Linked DNA regions of Diceros bicornis minor. The protein of the gene in region 2 binds, or shares a complex with, the protein of the main gene of each other region. Links are inferred from orthologs where the notes say so. Each region holds a gene or a part of one and is shown on either strand. Other genes may lie near its edges.

The links.
Region 1: EID3 (region 2) and NSMCE2 share a complex: the UniProt entries of both Homo sapiens proteins name them as parts of the SMC5-SMC6 complex. The link is inferred for Diceros bicornis minor from reciprocal best matches to the Homo sapiens genes EID3 and NSMCE2.
Region 3: EID3 (region 2) and NSMCE3 share a complex: the UniProt entries of both Homo sapiens proteins name them as parts of the SMC5-SMC6 complex. The link is inferred for Diceros bicornis minor from reciprocal best matches to the Homo sapiens genes EID3 and NSMCE3.

Annotation. Positions count from the first base shown.
Region 1 is NC_080760.1:40,395,937-40,403,682, reverse strand, and holds the start of NSMCE2 (E3 SUMO-protein ligase NSE2), read right to left. Parts: upstream 4,108-7,746; 5' UTR 4,029-4,107; intron 1-4,028. UniProt on the Homo sapiens protein: E3 SUMO-protein ligase component of the SMC5-SMC6 complex, a complex involved in DNA double-strand break repair by homologous recombination. Is not be required for the stability of the complex.
Region 2 is NC_080764.1:19,516,726-19,524,471, forward strand, and holds the start of EID3 (EP300-interacting inhibitor of differentiation 3), read right to left. Parts: upstream 5,332-7,746; 5' UTR 5,238-5,331; coding exon 4,125-5,237; 3' UTR 1-4,124. UniProt on the Homo sapiens protein: Tissue-specific component of the SMC5-SMC6 complex, a complex involved in repair of DNA double-strand breaks by homologous recombination.
Region 3 is NC_080744.1:79,174,043-79,181,788, forward strand, and holds NSMCE3 (non-structural maintenance of chromosomes element 3 homolog), read right to left. Parts: upstream 3,894-7,746; 5' UTR 3,800-3,893; coding exon 2,912-3,799; 3' UTR 175-2,911; downstream 1-174. UniProt on the Homo sapiens protein: Component of the SMC5-SMC6 complex, a complex involved in repair of DNA double-strand breaks by homologous recombination. The complex may promote sister chromatid homologous recombination by recruiting the SMC1-SMC3 cohesin complex to double-strand breaks.

The DNA.
Region 1 (7,746 bases), on a different chromosome or scaffold from region 2:
TTTTCTTAGAATCATATAGACAGAGCACGAATTCAGGCTCTGTCACTTTACTACTGAGTGACCATGGGCTGATTGCATAAACCTCTCTGAACCTCAGGTTTACTGTCTCTAAAATGAGAAGGAATATCACAATGTGGTCCAGCACACAGTACACAATTAATTAGCATGGACTTGCCCTCCTGCCCTTCCTTTCTAACATGGGAAACTGTCTAGTATCTCTGGCATTTCCATCCTCTCCATTGCCACCACTTTTATCTCACACCTGGAGTACTACAGTAGTTTCTTAACTATTGGCCCTTTTCAATTAGATTCATTCATTCATTCATTCAACAAATAGGTATTGAGTGCCTTACCATGTCAATCATTAGACTCTAAAAAAGACACAGGGTATACAAAGGGAAGGGCATAGAAAAGATGCCCATGATGCTGATCTCTATTTTTGAGGTTTTAGTCTATTACAAACATCCACAATACAACTCTTCTTCAATTCAAATCATTCAGTTAACAAATATTCAGTAAGTAATGTTTTGGAGCATAACGTAGAGGGTCTTAAGTGCAGGATAAAGAATCGGTCCAGTTGGGTCCAGGGGGGCAGTCAATGGGACTTTTAGCTTTATCTGTTTTTTAAAAATTTATCTTAAAAATCAAGAACTGAAACAAACATGGCAAAATGTTATAGATATTAAAATCCGGATGATAGAACAGGGTTCTCATTATGTTATTTTCTGGGACCTTCTGTGATGTTAAAATTCCACACCAAAAGAGAGAGAAAAAATATGACTATGAATACAAATGAGAAACCATTGATGATTTTTGAACATCTGCATTTTGGTGAAAGAGTATTTATTTACAGTCTCACATTATTACACCAAACAAGCTGAGACAGTTAACACAATATAAATACAAATATATGCAGTAAGATGGGAAATATATAATATAAATGCATGAAAATCAGGATGGAAAACAAACTAAAGGGGAAAACAGGTAAAGAAGAAAATTTTTACTACATGTGTAATACAAATTTGGCTATGAGCTTCCTGACAATCAAAGCAAAAAGTGAAAGCTACAGAATCCTCTTTCCCCATAAAGAAAAAGTACATCAGGAACTTGGGAAAAATAAGGCTTTCCATGGCAATCAAGGCAGTGTGGACCATCATATATAAGACAATAAAACTCATACTGAAAAATATTCTCAATAATATCCTTACAATAAATGCAACAGTGAGCTTCCTAGGACTGTTTCTTAGGTTATTCCTCAGGGTAAGCTAAAGACAGGACACTTGGGGTAGATACCAGCTCGGTGCCCACCAAACCCATTTCCTCTTCAATCTGGTTATACAGCTAGACCACAGTTTGCAGCCTTCCTTGCAGTTAGCTATGGCCATATGACTGAATTCAAGGCAATGAAATATGAGCCATTTCCAGGCCCAGTCTATATAAACTTTCTCCACACTCTTTCCCATTTGATAGCTTGAACAGGCAAGCACAGTGACCTTAGATGCTCTATACTGAAGATGGAGAATCCCTAGTTCCTATATCACTGCTTGGCGGAAAACTGCCCGCCAATCAGGCTCCACGCATGAAAGAAATAAAAACTTCAATTGTGCAAAGCCGTTTAGGTTTTGGGGCTTACCTGTTACAGCACCAACTGTTACTCAAAAAAACACAATCCTGCAAGAATCAAATCATATGGTTCAAGTATTCAGTTTTCTAGTCAGTCTTGATTCCAGTTTAAGTCTAAATTGTCTAGGGCACTAGACACGTGGTTATCATGACTGAGGAACTGAGTTTTAAATTTTATTTAATTTTAACCAATTTAAATCTGAATAGCCACATGTGCCTAGTGGCTACTGCACTAGTCAGCACGGTTCTAGAGACACAATTATCCAAGTATACCATATATATGAACCATGGGGTAAGCAAGAAGGGGCAAAGCCACAGAATAAACAGGATATGTTTCCTGGAATATCAATTTTACCTAAAGATAACATGAACCATCATTAGCTACATTACAGAGCAGAATATGAAGGCAATACAGAGTAGGGGTTAAACACCCAGCCTCTGAAGCCAGAGTACCCGAGTTCAAAGCCTGATTTTGCCACTTAAGTAGCTGAAAGACTTTAGGCAAATTATCTAACCTCTCAACGCTTCACTTCTCCCTTCTGTAAAAGGAGGATGATCCAGTGGCTACCACAAGGATTACTGTGAGGATTGAATGAGTTAATATAGATAACAACACACTAAGAACAACGCCCAGCACATAAATCTCATCTTGTGTCTCTGATTGTGTCTCTCCCCAAGCTGACTAAGACACAACGTACACAAGGATTAATACAATCTGGGATAAATGGAAAGTGTCTACCACATGGTAGCTATCCTTATTATCTGAATTCATAATTCACATTACTCCAATGAAACTTTATACTTGCAGAGAGCTAGGGAACACACGGTCACTGCCTTCTGTGAGTATATCAACGGAAACGATTCAGATAAGAAGCAAAGAGAATGGATGGGGCACAAAGATGGAGTAGACACACTTTTCCCTATTTCTCCCACAAAGTACAGCTAAGTACATAAGTCACAGGACAGCCCTCACAACAAAGAATTATGTGGTCCGAAATATCAATAGTGCAGTAGTTGAGAAACTCTGGTTTAAATCAGCCTCCTCTTGGAGCCTTCCCAGGTGGCAATCAATGATCTTTTTGTTCCCTGTACCTATGGTCTCCAACAAAGTTTAAAACAAGGTTATGCATTTCCCCAGTTTTTCCCTAGCATGTTATTTTGCCTCCCGTAAACAGGCCTTGCCTTATGCCATCCAGGCTGCAGTAATAAAATACCACAGTCTGGGTGGCTTTTAAACAACAGAAATCTGTTTCTCACAGATCTAAAGGCTATAAGTCCAAGATCAAGGCATGGGTTCACAGCCCATGCCTTCTGCTCTTTGCCTTCACTTGGTAGAAGGATCAAGGGAGCTCTCTGCAGCCTCTTTCATAAAAGCACTAATCCCATTCCCAAGAGCTCAACCCTCATGACCTAAGCACCTCCCAAAGGCCCCGCCTCCTAATACCATCACACTGGCATTAGGATTCAACATCTGAATTGGAGGCGCACACACATTCAGACCATAGCAGGTCTATAAGATTCTCTGCAGGCAGGACCCATTATTGGCTAATACCATTTCTTCTCTACTGTTCCCTCCTCTTCTCTGTCTGTACAGCACAGTGGTAGGCACAGAGCAACCAATTTATAGGCACTATGCCCACCTCCTTGGTGGGCATGGGAGTCCGTACAAGTTCAGCCAGAGCTGTAGCTCCTTTTTCAAGATGCAGGAACACATGTTTCTTGATGAAGCCTTCCCTTATCTATATAAGCAATTGCTTGTTCCCTCCCTTATGCTGCCACTATTCCTCTCTCCCTCTCTCTCTCCTTCTCTCTCACGCACACACTTCTATTAAAAAACTCAATAAAACTCATCACAACTCTTTGCTCACATGTCTGCCACTCCTTCACCCTGGGAGCAACTTAAACTAGAACTCGGACATATTCTACAGCATTTGAAACAGCTCCTGACACAAAATAGACGATCAGTCAAGATCTGGCCAGAGTCACAACAATAACAGCAACCACCATTTCCAGATCTCCCACGGTGTGCCATAAACCGGTGCCCCCGGGCTTCATTCTCATTGTCGCTAATCCTCACAGCCATTTACATACGAGAAAAGGAAACGGAGGCCCAGAGAGTTTATTTAAACGACACGCCCAAGGCCCTGCTTTTAAAGACAGTCCAAACCAGATTTATTTGGATCAAGAATTCGTCATCTTTTCCCCACACGTTTAGGGCTGAAGGATGGGCAGATGGCGTCTCGGAGAGGGAGGTGAACTGTCCCAGCCTCACTGCTCTGGCGTGAAAAGAACCAGGACCATAACCCAGGTCGACAGACCCCAGGTCAAGGCACCCGCGGAGCGCCCGAGAGGGAGGCGACACCTCCCGCCGCCCTCCCCATCGCCAGCCCCCGCCTCTGCCTTACCTGGCTGCCCGACCTAGCTCCGTCTGGCTGCACCCCGACTCCCCACACCCGGACCCCCACTCCTTCCTTAACTCCCTGCCCCGTCGCTGAAACTGCGAGCGCGGGCTCCGACGTCATCAGCCGTTGCCCGCGAGTGGTCACATGACACCCCGCTCTGCTCTCCTCCCCTGTGGTCATGTGATGGCCCCGGGAGCCAGGGGCGGAAGCCGGGTTCTGGCCGGCTTGCGATCCGGGGCTGGAGGTAGAAGACCCCAGCGGAGAGGGAAGGGTCGGGGACTCCGGCGCTGACTCCGCGCACGATCGCCGGCCCCGCGCGTGCGCCCTGGCGCGGCCCGGGTGACAGGTGAGTCCGGGCGGGGCGCGCGTGCCCCCTCCTTTCACGGCCCCCCTCCCCTCCCCCGTCCCGGGGCTGGGCCGCGCTGGTCCCGCGGGCATCTGCGCGTGGAGTGGGGTCTGGATGGGGGAGCCTGGCGTGGAGGACTGAGGGGCTTCCTGGGGCTGGGGCTGCAGCCCAGCCTCTTCATCTCCACTTAGATGGAAATAATTTTCCACGCCGCTGTGGCGCTTTAGGAAGTGATGTTCAGCTGCTTGACCCGCATCTGAGCCTTCCAAGTTTTCGGAAGCAATGCTGTGTGGACGTCGTTATTCCTCTCTTTACTCGCGAGAAATCGGAGTGGTTAGTGAGCGCTTTTACAGTGTGAGGGACCTGGGTTTGAATTCTAGTTCTGCCATGGGCTGTGAGTTTAGGCAAGTCATTGCTCCTCTCTGCACCTTAATTCCCCCACCTGTGACATGCTGGTGCCAAAGTCCTTTGCATTTCGAAAAAACGTTCCGAGGGTCCAGATTTCACTATGGTCTCACAGTAAAAAGAAAAAAAACACACCTCACAGAGGCCATAATGGAATAGGGTCTCCTGATTCCAAGTGCAGGGAGCTCCCTCCAATGTAGGTAACGGGGGTGAGGGGGTGGGAGAGAGCGGTTTTACTGCCTCTGCCCCCAACAAGGACACTTTCCGGTTTTTCTTCTGTTTTTCCTCATGAATCAGCTGATAGTGATCAGACTCATTTCAGAACTTTTCTGGAAAAGATATGTTGGTCACTTTTATCTTGATCAACAATCATCATATTTTGTTCCTGATAATGGATTTGTGGAGGCCAGTGCTTCCTTCTTTATGGAACTGAGGTTTTATGAAAGGATAAAAATAGACCTATCTTCTTTTGACCTCTGAGTAGGGTAAACAGTGCTTTGTCCTAGGACAACTTATTTCCTTCAGAATTTGGTTCTGTACTCATTGGGTAATTGGTGTGATGATCCCGTGCTGCATTCTTTTTTTTCTTTTTTTTCTTTTTTGTGAGGAAGATCAGCCCTGAGCTAACATCCATGCTAATCCTCCACTTTTTGCTGAGGAAGACTGGCTCTGAGCTAACATTTATTGCCAATCCTCCTCCTTTTTATCCCCAAAGCCCCAGTAGATAGTTGTATGTCATAGTTGCACATCCTTCTAGTTGCTGTATGTGGGATGCGGCCTCAGCATGGCCAGGGAAGCCGTGCGTCCGTGCGCGCCTGGGATCCCAACCCCCGGCCACCAGTAGCGGAGCACGCGCACTTAACCACTAAGCCACTGCCGGGTGCTTCATTCTTGAAAGCATATTGTCCTTTGTCCAGGATTACTTTCCAAACTGAAAACTACAATTCCTTACCAAATTCTTGAAAATAAAGTTATGACCACCTTTCTGGGTACCTTGTAAAAGAAAATTAGGAAATTGAGTTTGGTCTCTGGCTTCATTTTATGCCAAATAGTGATACAGTCTATACTGAGAAAATTGGTCTTTATGAATTTTCTTCGTCCCTAGCACCAAGAGAACCTCTAAGAGGAAGATTTAATATAGCTTCTTCTACAGTGTTTATTTGCACCTCATTTTAGAGTGATTTTTTTAAAGCTCAGCTAAGTCTTAACACCTTCTATGAAGCCACCTACCTCTGAGAGGGCTGCAACATGATTAGGCATCTCTAATGATGGTTCTTAGATTTTGTTCTTTAGGGCCAGTTTTTCAGCCAACAGTGGGGCTGTTTACCAAATACTCTAGTCAGATAATATTTTGGAAGTTGCCTACAATGTAACTCTGGAGTAAGGATTTAAGGATTAAACTAAGAGATGGATACACCAAAGTCTTGACTAATGTCATTATCTCAGGTCTAAGCTTCCCTGACCGTGTGTATGCAGATGCTGAGTACATCTGTCCATCTGTTTGTTGGGAAAGAAAGCAGGTAATGTTGCTTTGCTTTGAGCTGTTTTCTCCATGGCCTCATTGTCTGTCCTATACTGGTGTCCAAAATCTGGTAGCAGTTAGACCTGTTAATCATACCTTACCCTCCTCTCAATTGAGTCTAGGGTTTCATCCCGCTGAGACCTGGGTTGGTTTAGTATTCTTCAGAGGACCTCAGTAGGTGACTCTTTTGCCCATTGTTTATTATTTTTCCCCTTTTCCTCTCTCATTTTCCAAGCCAGACCATATTAGTGCAAAAAAAATGGTATGAAATTATCTGAAATTTAGCCTGTTAGAGATCAATGTGGCTTAACAAGCAAGCATCACAGAGAAAACTAAAAAGAATTGTTAATATTTTATGCCTTAATGTGTCTTATAGGATACCCTCATGAGAGAGAGTTCTAGACAACTGTAGTGGCTTCTCAGTCACAATCAGACCCAACCCCATCCACCTTCCCTGATCTCTGCTTCTATCCCTTGCTCACTCTACAGCAGCCATATCAGCCTCTTTGCTATTCCTTAAGTGCATCTGGCACATGTCGGCCTTTGCACTTACTTGTAACCTCTGCCTGGAATGCCTTTCTCCAAGATCATTATCTATTGTAAAATAACAAACTACCCCAAAACCTAGTGGCTTAATAAACATCTATTATCTTATAGTTTCTGTGGTTAGAAATCAGGGGTATAGCTTAGCTAGGTGCCTTTGGCTCAGGGTCTCTTGAGAGGTTGCAGTCAAGCTGTGAACAGGAGCTGTTCTCTTATCTGAAATCTCAACTGAGGTTTTGGGGATCCATTTTCAAGCTTACTCCAGTGGTTGTTGGCAAGCTTCTCCATCCCTTATCACATGGGCTCCTCCATGGCTCTCTCACAATGTGACAACTTGCTTCCCCCACGACAAACAAGCTAGAGAGGGTGGCCAAGCCAGAAGTCAGTCTTTTTGCAATCTAATCTCAGAGGTGATATCTTTCACATTTGCCGTATTCTGTTCTTTAGAAGGGAGTCAGTAAGTCACACTTAGGGAAGGGGCCTACACAGGGCGTGAATAAGGAGGTGGCAGTCATTGGGGACCGTCTTAGAGGCTACTGACCACACTCAGATACCCTTACTGCTTTCTCCCTCACTTCCTTCTGGTCCCTGCTCAAATATCTTAACAGCAAGGCTTGCACAAACTACTCTATGTAAAATAGCACACACTCCATCCCTTTTTCCTGCTTTTTCTTCACAGCAATTATCACAGCCTGATATATAATATATTTATTATCTCTTTCCCACTCTGAAAAGTGTGTAGGCTTCATGAGAGCAGAAACTTTAGTTTTGTTCACTCTCATATCCTCAGGTCCTAAAACAGCACTTGGCACATAGTAGGCATTGGGTAGATATTTGTTGAATGAATGAATCTGTATCATTTGGATGCTTTCACCTGCAAAGTATCCAAAACCCAATTAACAATG
Region 2 (7,746 bases):
CATCCACTGGGGTTGTACCTCAAGCCTCTTTGTGCTTTGGAGGATTATGTGGCAGGAAAGAAATAACACTAAATGATGGCTTAAATGCTACAGACTGTCTAGGAGAGAATGGGCCCTGAGCCTAAGACAGAAGTTGGCAAACTACAGCCTGCAGGGCAAATCCAGTAGGCCAGTTTTTTGGTTTTTTTTTTAACAGCCCCTAAGGATGATTCTTAACATTTTTAATAAGGGGGAAAAAATCAAGAGTAATACTTCATGATACATGAAAATTATATGAAATTCAAATTTCAGTACCCATAAATAAAGTTTTATTGGAAAACAGCACACTCATTTGTTTCCATATTGTCTATAATATCTGCTGTTTTCCCAACAATAGCATAGTTGATTAATTTCAACAGAGATCATATGGCTCACAAAGCTTAAAATATTTACTATCTGGCTTTTTGCAGAAAAAAATTTGCCAATTCCTGGCCTAGGGAAATTCTGAGTCAATGTTGTTGGCAGGTGCTAGGTGGAAAGTACCAAACAATAATACTCAAGTGAGCTCAAATCAAATAATTAAAAGTTCAAGGAAGTAGAGGTTCTTGCTACACTATCCTCCTCCAAGTAGAACCAGGGAAGTTGATTCTCCATGACCAATTAATTATCTAGATCTTCAGCTATTATGCACCTAAAATATCTAGAGCCAAGGTAATACTTAACATTTACTCTTATCAACTACTCTGGCAAATTACTTATGACAAACAGATTCCATTTCAAATGCCTCCCCCCCGGGGGCCTTCCCTTATCACTTTGAGGTAGCATCTCAACCATTATCCAAGCAGTTTTTCTACAGAGCAATCATCATTAATAGGAATATTGTTGACTCCCCCTCTGATAGGCTGAACAATGGTCCTCCAACATCGAAGTCCGAATCCCTAGAACTTGTGAATACACTACCCATAAAAGGGACTTTGGAGATGTGATTTAAGGACCTGGGGATGGGGAGATCTTCCGGGATTATCTCAGTGGGCCCAACTTAATCACAAGTATCCTTATAAGAGGGAGGCTTCATTACAGTAGAAAACGTGAAAACAGAAGAGGTTGCACTGTCAGCTTTGATAATGGAGGAAGAGACCGTGAATCAATGAATGCAGGCGGCCTCCAAAAACTGAAAAAGGCAAGAAAACAGGTTCTCCCCTCAGAGCCTCAACAGGGACCAGCCCTGCTGACACCTTGACTGTAGCCCAGAAAAACCGATTTGACTTCCAACCTCCAGAACAGTAAGATAATAGATTTGTGTTGTTTTAAGCCACTAAACAGTAATTGATAACAGCAGCAATAGGAAACTAATACACCCACTAAAATAAGAATTCCACGAGAGATGGGCAATTTTCTGTCCACCACTTTTCCCATCAGTGCCTAGAGCAGTTCCTGGCACAGTGGCACTGAGTAAATTAACAAAGTGCCAATTCCAAGTGCTCGGTATGGGATTCCCCAGAACAAAGGCAAGACTATGAGGAAGTCACATCCAGACTTAAAGGAAAGTAACTGAACTATGACACAGATGTCACCATGGAAGGAGGTGGCAGCATGGGCTTTCCGACCCTGACCCAGAAAGTGAGGCACTAACATGAGTGCTCACGATGAGCCAGACACTGTGCTAGATGTTTTACATCTACTATCCCACTTAATCCTCACAATAGTCTTCCAAGCAGATGTCATTCCCGTTTCAGAAATGATGATATAGCAGGCCTTAGAGATTAAGAAACTTCAAGAATTGAACCCACTGAAACACAAATCTCTTGCTTTTCTCACTACACCATACCCAGTAATTCACATTTCAAAGTACTTGTCACATACATTTCCTAATTTTATCCTTACTGTAAACTTAAGGGATAGGTATTATTCCCACTTAGCAAATCAAAAACCCAAGGTTTACAGGTTCAGTAATTTTCCCCAAGTCTCTAACTAGAATGTTAGAGAGTAAAGATCTGATCCCAGATCCTTTGATCAGAAAGTGGTTCTGTTATACAATAAAGTTCTAATTTAAAGAACTTTCCATAATATTCTCCTAAAATTCAGTTGATTTTATTGAACCTGTAAAATTTAAGCCACTCTAACTATATTAATAGGAAACCAGTAGATTTGCAGTTTGCTTCATATTTAATCTCTATAATTGAATTATCTATTGGTCAATTTTCCTTTTTTCTTCAAGGTTAGCAGTCGCTTTAATTTCAAGGTGATGAGACAACCCAGGTGTCATGACAACCAGTAAAAATAGAAACAAGAGATACTTGATTTATATTTTAACAGCTATAACTTTAGAGAAGACCTAAAAAACTACTGTCTCCACAAACCTCCAGATTATCTATTAATGCTTTTAATCATCACTAAGTTTCAAATATCCTAGTAAAGACACTAGGCATTTAACAGAGCAAGCTGGGGGTGAGTAAGGAACTGAGGCAACACCTTTTTGCTATCATTAAGAGTACTATTTCCTCAAACAGCAAACCTCTGGAAAACCCAAGGAACTCAGCTGGTAGAGACATGCTAAGTGAGGATCAGAGAAACCAAACGATGCTTCCATGACTGCTAAATCAAAGGGTGGTGGTAGACACCGCGAAGGTTAGCACTCCTTCACACGATAAAGGGGAAGGAACGACTAGGAAATAACTGGCCAAGTTTCATGAGAAATTTCTCTCTTTGCTAAAAACCTCCACTATTACTGGTGAAGAACCTTCCCCACACATATATAAGATCTCTCCTCTCAATCTTGATGTCATTCGTTCTGTCTTTGGATTTCCCTTCCCTTTACATCCCACTTGACTTAGCAGGAAAGTTTATCATTACTGCTATGCAAAACAGATACTTATCCACTTACCAGTTTAATGGTAAAAATCCACTCCTACCAACAATTAAGTTCCTAGAGGGATCAAGAAAAGAAGCTTCTAGGCATGCTCACTGCACCTTCGGAAACTGTTTTCTTAAAGATCCAAATTTTTGGCAGTAACCTCCAAATAAGGCTGTAATTTATACTCTTAAAACAACTGCAAGCAACAAAAAGAAAAAAAAGCCTTCATGGCTTTATATGAATTGAAGAACATTTGGATAAATTAGTCATATATTTCAGTTTAAACAGGGACGGTTTCCAGGCATTTAAAGCCCTATTAAGAAATGGAAAATCGAATGGAGAACAAATAGTCAAGGCTGTCACACAATGAAACATCACTGATTCTGAACAACACTCTGTGTACTAGCAGAAGCTACCAAGGGAAACAAGAAGCCAGCAAAGAAACTACCCAAGTAGATAAAGACTATAACTGGATGTCAAAAGATTTTGTTTGAAATAATCTGACAAAAATATTTTCTACCTCTGAGAATACTAAAATACGAGTTAATTCAATTTTTGCCCAGTTTAACATTGAAATGGAATAGTTTTCTTAAAAATCTTATGGTTCTCTGGTGCCATAACTTTTCCCAATTCCATACTCCCCTGCCTAGAACACCTCTCCTGTCTTTAACCAATTCCTACTCAGCTTTCAGCACTTAATTAACACCTCACCTACTACAGTAGAGACACACTACCTTTGTTGAGTTCCATCACGAGAAATTATTTAGACTATAGATATCCACTCATTAATCTTACTGACTCCTCTTTGTAAAGAAGTATATGGCATCTAAATTTTTTTTACACTCAACATTGCAGATTCACTGCCCTATGGTTAGTCTTTCTTGACCATTTTTTTCACTCACTCTTCCCCCAACCTGGTTAGGAGCCCCATATGGGATTCCCTTGGTTCCCTATAAAAGAGGAAGCAATGTAATATCACAGAACATCCTAAGTGATTTTTTGGCAAATTACCAAATACTTTGTAATTTATGAAATTCAGAATGGATTTTTATTAAGTCTTAAAAGGCATTCAAAAAATTTTTCTCATGAACATGCCAGTGCATTTTTTTAATAACAGAAGACCAAACTACCAAGAAAAATACACTGCACAGTAAAATAATTTCTGACGTTCTTGAAAATACTTTTTCACTTTCCAAGAGATACAATATGTGCTTCTGTTCAGATTTTACTCTTCATTTTGAAATACATTAGAAAAGCCAGAAAACGCATCCTATACTAAGAACAAAAATCTTTAGTATGAGTTTGTGATCATAGCCTCTGAAATTTCAAAAGTTGCCACAATATTTTTCCAGTCCTGTAAACTCAAAGATATAACTCCTTGTTTCCTGCCATGGGAACTGGGATCATTTCCCTCACCCATTTGGTTAATATTAATTGGCTCTAATATTGGCAGCCTGTCTTGGTCAAGCCTTATTCTTGCAAAACCATCCCTTATAATGAAAGAAACATAAAATATATTCTCCACAGTACGAGAAAAAGAGTTTGGATCAACCACAAATTCAAAATAGGACACAGGAGTATCAGGATACTTTCGAAAGTACATTTGCAACAATCCCAAGATTCTTTCCACTTCTTTTTCTGTCGCTTCTTGATTACCATTCAGGTCCAACTTCCTCAGCTTTGTAGGCATATCCCCGTTTTCTTCCATTTTGTGAACTTTTTTCTGGTGGTCAAGCCGGGGCTTTGGTGCAGAAGGCTCTGACTTGAACGAACCAAAAATAAAGTGGAATGTTTCAGCTCGCACTATCCAGGATGTTGCTTCCTTTTGTACTGTCTCCCAGAAGGAAAGAGCTATATTATCATCACAGCCACCCAACTCATCATGTTCATCCTCTTCCATCCAGTTTAGACCCACAAATATAAACAGAAAGTCACAAAACGCTACTTGATTAAAAAAGCTCGTATTAGAGTTTAGCTGCTTTGCTTTTTCTTTACCCAAATCAGAAGCCAAAACAAGAAACTGGGCATCGAGGGCTGCTTCCCTTGTTCGGCTCACTCCATCAAACAGGACATTGGCTTCCTCAAGAGCCTCGGTTAATGAGTTGCTCGCTCTGTTCACTATGTCATCACGATTCTGCTGCACGTTATAGATGAGCTGCCGGTACTGCTTGCGGATATTCCGGCATTTCTCCTCGTCAGCCTCGAGCCCTAGGAGGTTTGGTTTTATGGCGGCATCCCCACAGCCGAGGTCGTCAGAGCAGCAATCAGGCCCCAGCGCTTCCACCTTCATCGGTTCTCCGTCCTCCTCCGCCTGCTTCACAGAGTACGCGCTACCAGTGATGCTCACCACCGGCTCCTCTTTTTTCTCCACGCCCTCCTTCAGAGAGTCTTTCTCATCAAACATGTCGACAACTGCTGATGCTCAGCTAACGGCTTTCGCTACGTTTCCCACAACAGCAGAAAGTGAGGAGGTCAGTTAGAGCGGAGGGCGTCCGCCCATGCGCACTGGCGGCGCGGCCCGGAGGCCCGCCCCTGCTCCCGCCCCCGCTCCCGCCCCCAGCTCGCTCCACCTCCCGCCGGCTGCCGCCCGCTGCGCCGCAGACCCCAGGCCCCGCGTTCGCGAACGAGCCCGCGGCCGCGCACAGAACGCGCGCAATAATGGGTCCCAACGCCGAGTATCCGTTCAAGCAACAGCTATTATTTTAGCGTTTACGAACAGTGTCATGTAGCTTTCAAAGAAACAGATGGACAACGTTATGACAAAATTGCGGGGAGACTAAAGGTCCTGCGCTCTAAAACATTCGCTGTCATCTTGCCACTAGGTCGACCTCCATTTTTCGTTCTTAATATGATTAAAAGGTGGGGTGTCTTTTTGTTTTTGTTTTTTTGAGAACTAAATCTGGCTAGATTACAAACTGCCCGTAAAGCCAAGGACTGTGAAACGCAGAACCTCCATTACAAATCGGCCGAACTCGCAGGGTTCATTTGCAAGGTGGTTGTTTGGAACTCATTCTTCAATATACAAATGCACACTTACCTTCGGGGGCCCTCAAAAGCCAAATCCCCTCCAAACTACCCCATAGTGGGAGGGAGGGCCCGTCTTGGGGATGCGTCTCTTCCAGCGCATGTGCGAAGGGTGGGGCGTATTATTCAAGTGATCTTTGGTTCTCCACCACTCAAGGATGGAATAAACTGGGTACGGTTTCTGCAAAAGAGCTGTCTATTTGGAAGCTTCCCAACGGCTAAAGGCCAAAGACTAAATGGATAGTAAATCCGAACCCTAAAAGGTGAGCAAAGCTATGAAGATTTTAAACACAAATCTGTTCTAAGGAATATGAAAGCGAATAAGGATGTATAAATCAGGTAACTAATCTAGGTTGGAAAATGCACCCACTACCTAGTTCATTGGAAATTCACCCACTACCTAGTTCACTGAAAATTCTTGTACAGTTGGAGAAAGGGGTCAGCTGATCAGTCACACAAGTAGCAAAGTATATGTAACAATGGAAAGGAATACATTTTGTTTTTAACGAGAGGCACACTCTGAACCCACAAGATCAAAAGCTTTTAACCACTGCAACAGGTGCCCCTGTGACAGAGACAGAGAGACAAGAGACGGCAAAACTGCACCTGTCAACTCGAGTTTCCCCTTCCCTTCCTTGCTATGCATGTAGACTGTTCATTATTCTCTGACATTAGCAGAAAGCTTTTCACAAATGCATGAACAGCAAAACAGTATTAAGTCACTCCAAAATATTTACATTACTAGTCGTCCACCATTTTTTTTTAAGTAGGGGTAATTCAGGAAGAAACATACATTTTTCAAAAACACCATGCACTATGGTTACTTGTACATAGATATTATCCTGCCTATTAGACTGTTAGCTTCTCTACAGCAAGAACTTGGTTTTAAATATTCCAAGCAAAGCTGTTTTCACATGGAGGCATTTGAGTATGCATATTTGAATGTATAAATGAATGTAGATGAAAAACTTTGTCCCAGCACCTATTGCAAGTTATTTGGCAGCAAAAGATTAATTTCATAGATTAGTGGAAGAAATAGATCCTACAATCGAAAATAAAAGTTAACTGCTTTTCAGAAAGTCAGCCTTATCCCTTCTCTGAAATAAAGAAAAAGCAGGAGGAAAACAAAGTTGGGACCCAGGATCATCAAAGGGCCATATTTTCCCTCCAAGTCTGGCCAACTACAAACTAATATTTAAACCTGTTTTAAATCTTGGATGAAAATACACAGTTAATTCTAAGTCCCAAATCCAAAAAAGTTTGCTTTTATAATTAACCATATTCTTGGGAGCTTCTAATATCCACTTCATATTCAATAAAAGCAATTTATAAAAGAACTTTAAAAGACAAGCCAACCTTCCCACCCTAAGGTACTTATTTTCTCCTGGCTCAGAGAAAGGAAAACAGGCTGATACCAATTTGCTCCATACAGACCCTTTCATCTAAGGATTTCAAAATGCTTTAGAAAAATAAATTAATTCTCCCAACCTACTTATAAAGTATTACTAATGCCATTTACAGGGATTTCTCAGGTGATAATGGCCTACACAACTTGCTCAGAGCAACAGAACACATCAAGACAAGCATCATATTTCTAAATTGCAATTTCCAGCGCTGAATTCATTCTATGCTAGATCCCTGTCCCTAAGAACCTTAGTAACATGTAACTTAGATCGTCCTCAGAAAGTCATGCATGCACTGTATTTTGCCTTTTAAAATCTGCCTTTAGAGCACAAGGTTTAGATGTCGCTGCAAAGCAAAAATCTCAAGTCTAATGATTTTCCCCAATCATTTAAAGAATGAGATTTCTACACTTATGAATCCTTTAATCACTAAACAGAGATGTTATAACCTAAGGTCCAATTACTAGTAATAATTATATAAATGCA
Region 3 (7,746 bases), on a different chromosome or scaffold from region 2:
AAAGATAAACTATGAAAAATGGGTGCTAGGTAATCCATATAGGAAAAATACAAAAATTATATCCATACCCCACATCATACACAAAAACAGATTAAAAACATAAATATGAAAGTCAAAATTTTGAACACTTATACTAGAAAATATTAGAAAATATCTTTAAAATATTAGGATTAGGGAGAATTTTTTAAAGCACTACACAAAAAAACATAGCCCTTAAAACACTGATGATTTTGACATATTAAAATCAAATCTGTAAGACAAAAAAGAAAAAGTGAAAATGTGAGAAGGTATTTGCATTAGATATAGCAGATAATGATTACCATGCAGAACATATAAAGAAATCTTACAAATCGATAAAAACAGAAAAAGTCTAAAAGTCTAACATATAAAAACTGATGGCAAAAAAAAAAAAAGCAAAAGATGCTTAATGTCTCTAGTAAGCAAGAGGTGCAAGTTAATACTACAATAAATTATCACTACATACCCAGAGAATGACTGGAAAGGCCAAATTTTCATAAGATCTACGGAGCTGAATCTCAAAAACAATGGTGAGTGAAAACAGCAAGTTGCAAAAGGATACGGTATACTACTACTTATATAAGTTATAAAAGCTCAGAAACCACTACTCTATATTGTTCAGGTACACAGTAAAAGTTATTAAATCATACAATAGCACGATATTCACAAACTTTCGACATCTCTGGTAAGGGTGAGAAGAAAAGATAAGGGCAAGATCTGGTCTGTAATGTTTTATATTTTAAAATCTAAAACAAAGTAATAATTCATTGATGGTAAATTGTTAACATATTTATGAGAAAAGTGTGGCAGAAGATATGTGCCTCAGATGTAACTGATAATGGGTGCGGGGTACCGATAACTTTCACCATACAGATGCAAAAAAGGCCAGTATTAGAACACACCAGAGGGAAAAGCAGTCAGTGAGGTAAGGGGACCAGTAAGCAGGATGCTTAGCCAGAAGGTAATTTATATGTGGAAATAAAAAGCAAACCAGAAACACATTCAAGGACACACTATACTCCAGTGATGAAATAAATGCAAATTTCAATTCAACAGAATGACGTAAAACCCAGTAACCTATCACATTCCTCCATGGACCACACACCCACCATAGACTCTTCTAGATGACATCTAGTCCAGTGTTGACCAAGTCCACACTTCTTTTTTGAGCTAAAGTATTTACCTCATTTCATGGTTAATTTGCAGTACCTGCCCCCCAAACAATTATACTTACTCACCCACTGAATAATTATTTGTTGAAACTCTGTATATAAACAGCATTTTGCCAGAGGCTGTGGAAGAATACGAGAGAAGACAATAAGCTCTTTTCTTTGGGCTCATTTAATCCATATAACAAACTATCATATAGTTATTATTTTTCCCATTTTACAGATAAAGAAATTGAGATTCAGAGAGCTTAAAACCTACCCCAAATCACCATGCTGACATAGCCATATTTCTGAGCCATAATTCAGTTTGTCAGACAACCCCAAAAACCGTATCCTATTCACTGTACTACAAGGACCTCTCAAAGCCCAGGGGAGATCGTCCTCTAACTTTCCTGCTCTTACTATTTTATGTGGGCTATACTCACCATGTATCATGAGTTATGTTTCCCCATTAACCCATACAATAGAGGCAGACTAGAAGAATATTGTCATAATTTTTGAACCAGTAATTCCAATTGTAGGAATGATTTACAACAACATAATGAAAGAAATCCTTTAACAAAATTAACTACTCCAGATCAAGGAGAATAAAAAACAAATTTAAAAAAATTTTAAGGAACAAAGTAACACCTAAAATCCTCCACAGCAGGCACTGTGCCAAGAACTTTACATATACTTCCATATCTAATAATCACAGTACTACACATAATACAGGCATCATCAGCCCATTTTACAGGTGAGGAAACGTCTGTATGCAAGTTAAGTAACGCGCCAAAATTCATATAGCTAGTTACGTGGGGCCAGGGTCTGAACCCAGGTGGTCTCATTTCCAAGTAGGCATGATTAATCAATAAAAGTTTTCTCAACTTTTTTATAACCCAAAGTAAGAAATATATTTTACATCATGATCCAATATGCACACACACATATAAAAGTAAGGTAACTTCTATAAAACACTATTTAGCTTAATAATACATGGCAAAAATCATTTTTTTCAAGACGCTGGTTTTGAATCCTGAAACTAATTTCTCATGACTCACAATTTAAAAGATGCAGAATGCTTAACTACCTCAAAGATATAGTATTTACTGTAACTATAGTAGAAAAAAACCTAAATGGAAATAAACAGTCAGCCACAGAGCTGAGTAGTAATTATGAATGTAAAAAAATTGTTATTCAGAGAAAATGCCATACATTGCTTAGAACAAGGCATAATGCTTATATATACGTATAAAGTACATAAATATAAAATAGCTATGCTAAGATAAAAAAGAATATAGGCAATTACATCTTTATTTTTAATTTATAAAGATTTTTATTTTTCTTTACAAACTGGGGTAGTTGGTAGTTAAGAGGCCAGATAATAGCCACTTCGCTTTTATTTTCTAGACACCAAAGCAATTTACTGATGTGTTCTTTCTTAAATATCTGTTCCAGATCATGGTACAAAGTTTCCCAATTAATTTTATAAAGCTAGCAAAATTTTTATACCAAAAAATACAGTCAGTCAAACAAATCAAAACAAAATGAATCCTCCCCTAATATTTTTATAAGTGAAAATTTGGAACCAAATAATTTACAATATGAACAAAAGTTTGCAAACACATCGTAAAGCTACACACATTTAAGCGTTAGAGAAATATGCTCCCCCTCCCCAACTCTCAGGCCTCCGCACTGTGCCTCTGACCCTTCCCCCAGGAGTCCCCGTGAATCTATTTCAGATTTCAAGAGGAGGGGGCTGGGCCACCGGTCCCAGGCCTGGCCCTGGCCTCCTCATCTGCCAGAGCCTCACAGTACTGCGCTGGCCAGTCCCTGGGGTCTTGATTATGGACTTTGGCCACAAACTTAAGAACTTTCATCTTGCTGGTCTCCAGGTTGGTTCGCGGGCCCCACTGGAATTCATAGTCCACAGGATCAGTGTGGGGTATCCGCCGGTACTCCAGGTAACGCTGCCGCACAAAGTCTTCAGTAATGAGTTTCTTTGGGTCCCCAAAAATCAAATGCTTCTTTGTGGGGTACACCCCTAGACGACGCAGGAAGTCCCAGACCTCGGTCTCCTTGATGGTGTTGCCCTTCATGAAGATGAGCCCCAGCACAATCATCAGCAGGCCGGTGGTGGGCGTGCCCTGGTCGCCTCTCACCTCGGCATCCTCCTCCACGGGTTCCAGCGTGTTGATGAGGATGTAGGAGTTGCTCTTGGGTTCCAGCTCCACCAGCTTGTACCCGAAGACGTACTCGAGGCGCTGCGCGGCCAGTTTCAGGAGGTCCGCGAAGATGTCCTTGTAGTCCCCGACGACGTGCTTCAGGATGTCCGTCCGCTTGATCGGGATCTTCTTCTGGTCCTTAATCAGCAGGAACTGCACCAGCTCGGCCACCTTCAGCTCCAGCTGCTTCTGCGAGCGGGGCCCCACCGCGGGGGAGGCCTCGGCCCCGCGGGCGCCCTGCGACGAGGTGCTGCGGACTTCCTGCGAGCCGCCCGCCCCGCGGGAGGTGCTCGGGGCCTCCTCGGCGACGCCGCCTCTCGGGGCCCGGCCGTCTCCGCCGCGGCCCCCGTCCCTCACCCTCTCGGCCTGGGCGCTGGGGCGGCCCCGGCTCCTCGGTTTCTGCAGCATGTCACCGGCGGCGGGAGCCTGGCGCCAGCGCCGACTCCGCAGGCGGGGCGCTCGCCCTAACGGACGGTGGCGGCGGGAGAACAGTGCACGGCGGGGATTGTGGGTCGGCGCGCGGCACGTCGGGGCGGCCCTGGGCGGGGCCGGAGGGGGCGCGCGCTGCGTCACGGAGGCTGCGCGCTGCGTCACGGAGGCTACGCGTTGCGTCGGGGAGTGGGGCGGCCGCCGCGCGTTGGCGGAAAGCAGTAGGCGTGTCTGCGCAGTCCTGTGGGTCACATTAGATTAAAGGTGGCGTCCTTACTAAACCCTACAAATAGAGAACAGGAGCCAAAACTCCTAAATGAGTGTGCGGCTGAGTTCAGGACCGCACAGGCTCAGGCAGGTACTATAGAAAGTGAGTATTAAAGAAGTTTAAAATCGGGAATATTTTTAGATGGAGGGAACTCAGGATGAATTGTGGGAGAAAAAAGGTGAAGAGGAAGGTGAGAGCGTGAAAGTGAAGCAGAATCATTTCTTTCTGCACAAAACTGGACATAAAAAGAGTGAAAGACCTGGAGGACTCCTAGTTGGCTTTGCCTTCGCTACTCCCTCCCCTCCCTTAAATTTAAGCTCTTAAGCGTTTACCACCAGTTACTTTCTCTAATGCCTCTAAGTGACCATTAAAAACGAATGTGGTAAAGGGAGAGCTTGCCTTGCAAGCAGGACTTTTCCCATCTTTTCACTCTTTCAGTATTTCTATTCTATGCATTAAACTCCATCAGTTAGACAACTACAACAAAACCGCCACATAAAGAACGTTTCAGTGAGGGGTTTTTGCTTGGTCAAATGATTCTGTCTTTGGAAAGCACATGCTCATGTAAACTGCCTTTGGGCCCACAACTACGATTGTAGCAGAAATGGGTAAGAAGAATGCTACAAACAGAAATGTGCTCTCTCAAGAGATTACCATTTAATTTTGGGCATCACTGATCAAGAATTGCAATAATGTGAATCTCTTAAATTTCTTAATTCTTAATATATCAGCCTTAGGGCGCAATGAGAAAGAAAAGAGAACCCAGGAGTATCATCCCTCATAATCTGTGATGTGTGCACTTTGTATATATATTTTTTATTGTGCAACTCTAATAGCCAACGTGAGTCATTTCATTAACTCAAACCATCTGCAATCTGCTGCCACTATTTTTACAGATCTTAGCAAATGTGTTGCTTTTCTATTTACTGACTTGTAAAGAAGAAACTGAATTTCCCTCTGTCTTTTTAAAGCTACCCAGAAAGTGGGTAAACTCTTCAAAGAACCAAATCAAATTGAGTTCCTCTTTAATGCAAATATATTCAAAGGAAGCAATTCAAAACACATTATTTGAATAATAGCACCAAAACACAATGTTATTAAAATTTCATTAAATGTTAGTAGCATAAAATTTTTGTTTGTAATTCAATATGAAAATGCAATCTGATAATGGCCCTGACTGCAATACTAAATGTAAAATGATATGCCGTGTTGTGATGCAAGTATGCTAAAATCTGGTAAACTATGAGTAATAACTTTCTGTTCCACACAAGATCTAACAATAAATCCCCAAGCATCAATCTTAATGACTGAAGCCTACTAAGAAAAACAAATATATCATGGAGGCATTCATTTTTTTACAATAAGAAAATTCATCTGCTTCAGTTTCCTTGCAAATTAAAATTTGGACTCAAGTTCAAAGAAACCTCCTGTGATCAAGAATTCTGCAAAAAGTCCCTCCAGAAAGATAATGTTGAACCCCGAGTAAAAAAAAAACTCAGCAACCAAGAGATAACAAAAATGGAAAATAAGATGAAAGCCATTGTCAACAGTTGGGCTGGTTTTTCAGTGTTTTTTCTTGCTAAGGTATTCACTTAAATTACCAAGTAGCCCCACAGGTCAAGCTACCCCTGTGACTCACTGTGTGAAAATCAGCAGTGTCCATCAGCTGCATCTTTTACCCAGATAGCAGATTGTCATACTCAAAATGAGTGAGAAAAGATACCAGTTTTACGTATTGAAACACCTCTCTCTGCTGTGTCCAGAAGAATGCAGGTGAGAAAATACAGACATAAAATAACAGTATTAGAATGAAGTTTAGGCATTGCATGGAGAAGTCACCCAGACCCACCTCCACCTTAGATTGACACAGGAAGCCATGGAGTTTGAGGAAAAATTGTTGTGATGATGGTGGTAATAATAACACTAACAATAATAAATATAAACAACAGCTACTGATTATTTCAAAGGTAAGTGGGTCAGACCCTATTCTAAGTGGTCTTCATGTATTACTTCATTTAATCCCACAACAACCCTATGAGGCCTGTGCATTTACTGTTTCTCTTCTCATAAATGAAGAAACTGAGGCACAGAGAAGAAGGTTAACAGTTTTGAGGTCCTACAGCAAGTAAGTGGTAGATCTGATCTGAACTAAGGCAGTCTGCCTCCAGAGACCGCTCCTAACCATCTGCTGATTGCAGAGAGAACATAGATATGGTGTCCTTGAAAAGGTAGATATGGTGTCCTTGAAAAGGTAAAGATCTGGGAGTCAGATGGACCTATATTAGAAACCTGTATGACATCCAGAAAGCTACTGACACTGCTTTCTGTTTCCAAGATTACTCATCCAGGCTTCAGGGGACTAAGTGAGATAGGTTTGCCAAGTCCTAGCACAGGGCTGGGACAGGGTAGTTGATAACCATGTGCTTCTTTCCAGGGGGTTTATGTTAAGGAAAATACTTGAGGACTATACAAAGCTGTATGTAGAAAGATGTTTACTGCAGTAAAACACAAGTACACACAAAAATCAGAAAAAAGTCTGGAAAGAAATATATCAAGATGCTATTAAAGTTATTTTCTTTCAAAAATGAAATCTTTCTTGGCAGATAAAAATATATTCTCAAGGAATTTTAACTTCACAGTGAAACCATGCTATAGCAGTTATACAATTCAAGTTTTCAGTAAATTCAGTGTGATCTGAATATGACTTTCGTGACTTTTTTTCAGCCAGTGAAGTAATAAAGACAAGTGGCTAAAAAAAGAAAAACATTTTCAAACACTTTATGTTAATGACCTTAATACTTTTATTACTAGACCCAAAAGAAAAAAAAATAATAATTCTTTGAGGCAAAAGCTAAGCTAGCTAAGATTTCAGATGCATTGAACAAAGAAATGCCTACTACCAATTGCTCTTTAGATGTCTCTCAGTAATTAATTGCTTTATTTCATCTCCTTGGTAGCAAATGCCTGCCAAGAAGCTCTAATCATCTTTATCTTCTACTGGATTCTCCTCTTCATTCACTGGCATTTCTTGCAGAACCAGAGACAGGTTTTAAATTTTCTGACAGCAACCTAGCGCAAAAAGCAGGTAAGGTCGTTGCGGGAAGAAAAGCAATGATAAAAGCATGCAGCCACCATATATGAGCAGCTTTGCTGCCTTTTCCAGTGGAAGAATGTGGGACAGTGTGCAGCAGGCGAGCAAAGTAGTTGGCGAGGGGCCCGGGATACTATTTTGGTGGGTAGATAGCAGGAAAAACAGTCCAGATATTTTAATGCTTGCAATAAAATCCCTTGTGTCCACTCATACATAACAAAGATGCATCCTGGTTAAATTATGTGATAGGACTACCTAATAACACTTAGTCTCTCATGAAAGAATACTTTGATTAAATGGCAACAGAGCTTTCCTTGGCTGGTGGAAAAGGGGTGGAGAGGTGGGGCTTGAGGAGATAGCTCTTTCCAAGCATTGTAGCCATTTGGTCCAGAAGCCTCTTCTTAGACTCTCTTTTCAAGAAATATAAGTCTTCCGTTACCCAGGGCCTTTTACTTATGAAAATCATTAAGGCCTATTAAGTTATAAAATTACCAACACATAACGTCTCTGTAGTGGCCAGTGTGTTTCTTTTTATTTGCTTGTTTTTGCTCCTTGTTCTGCATCCTT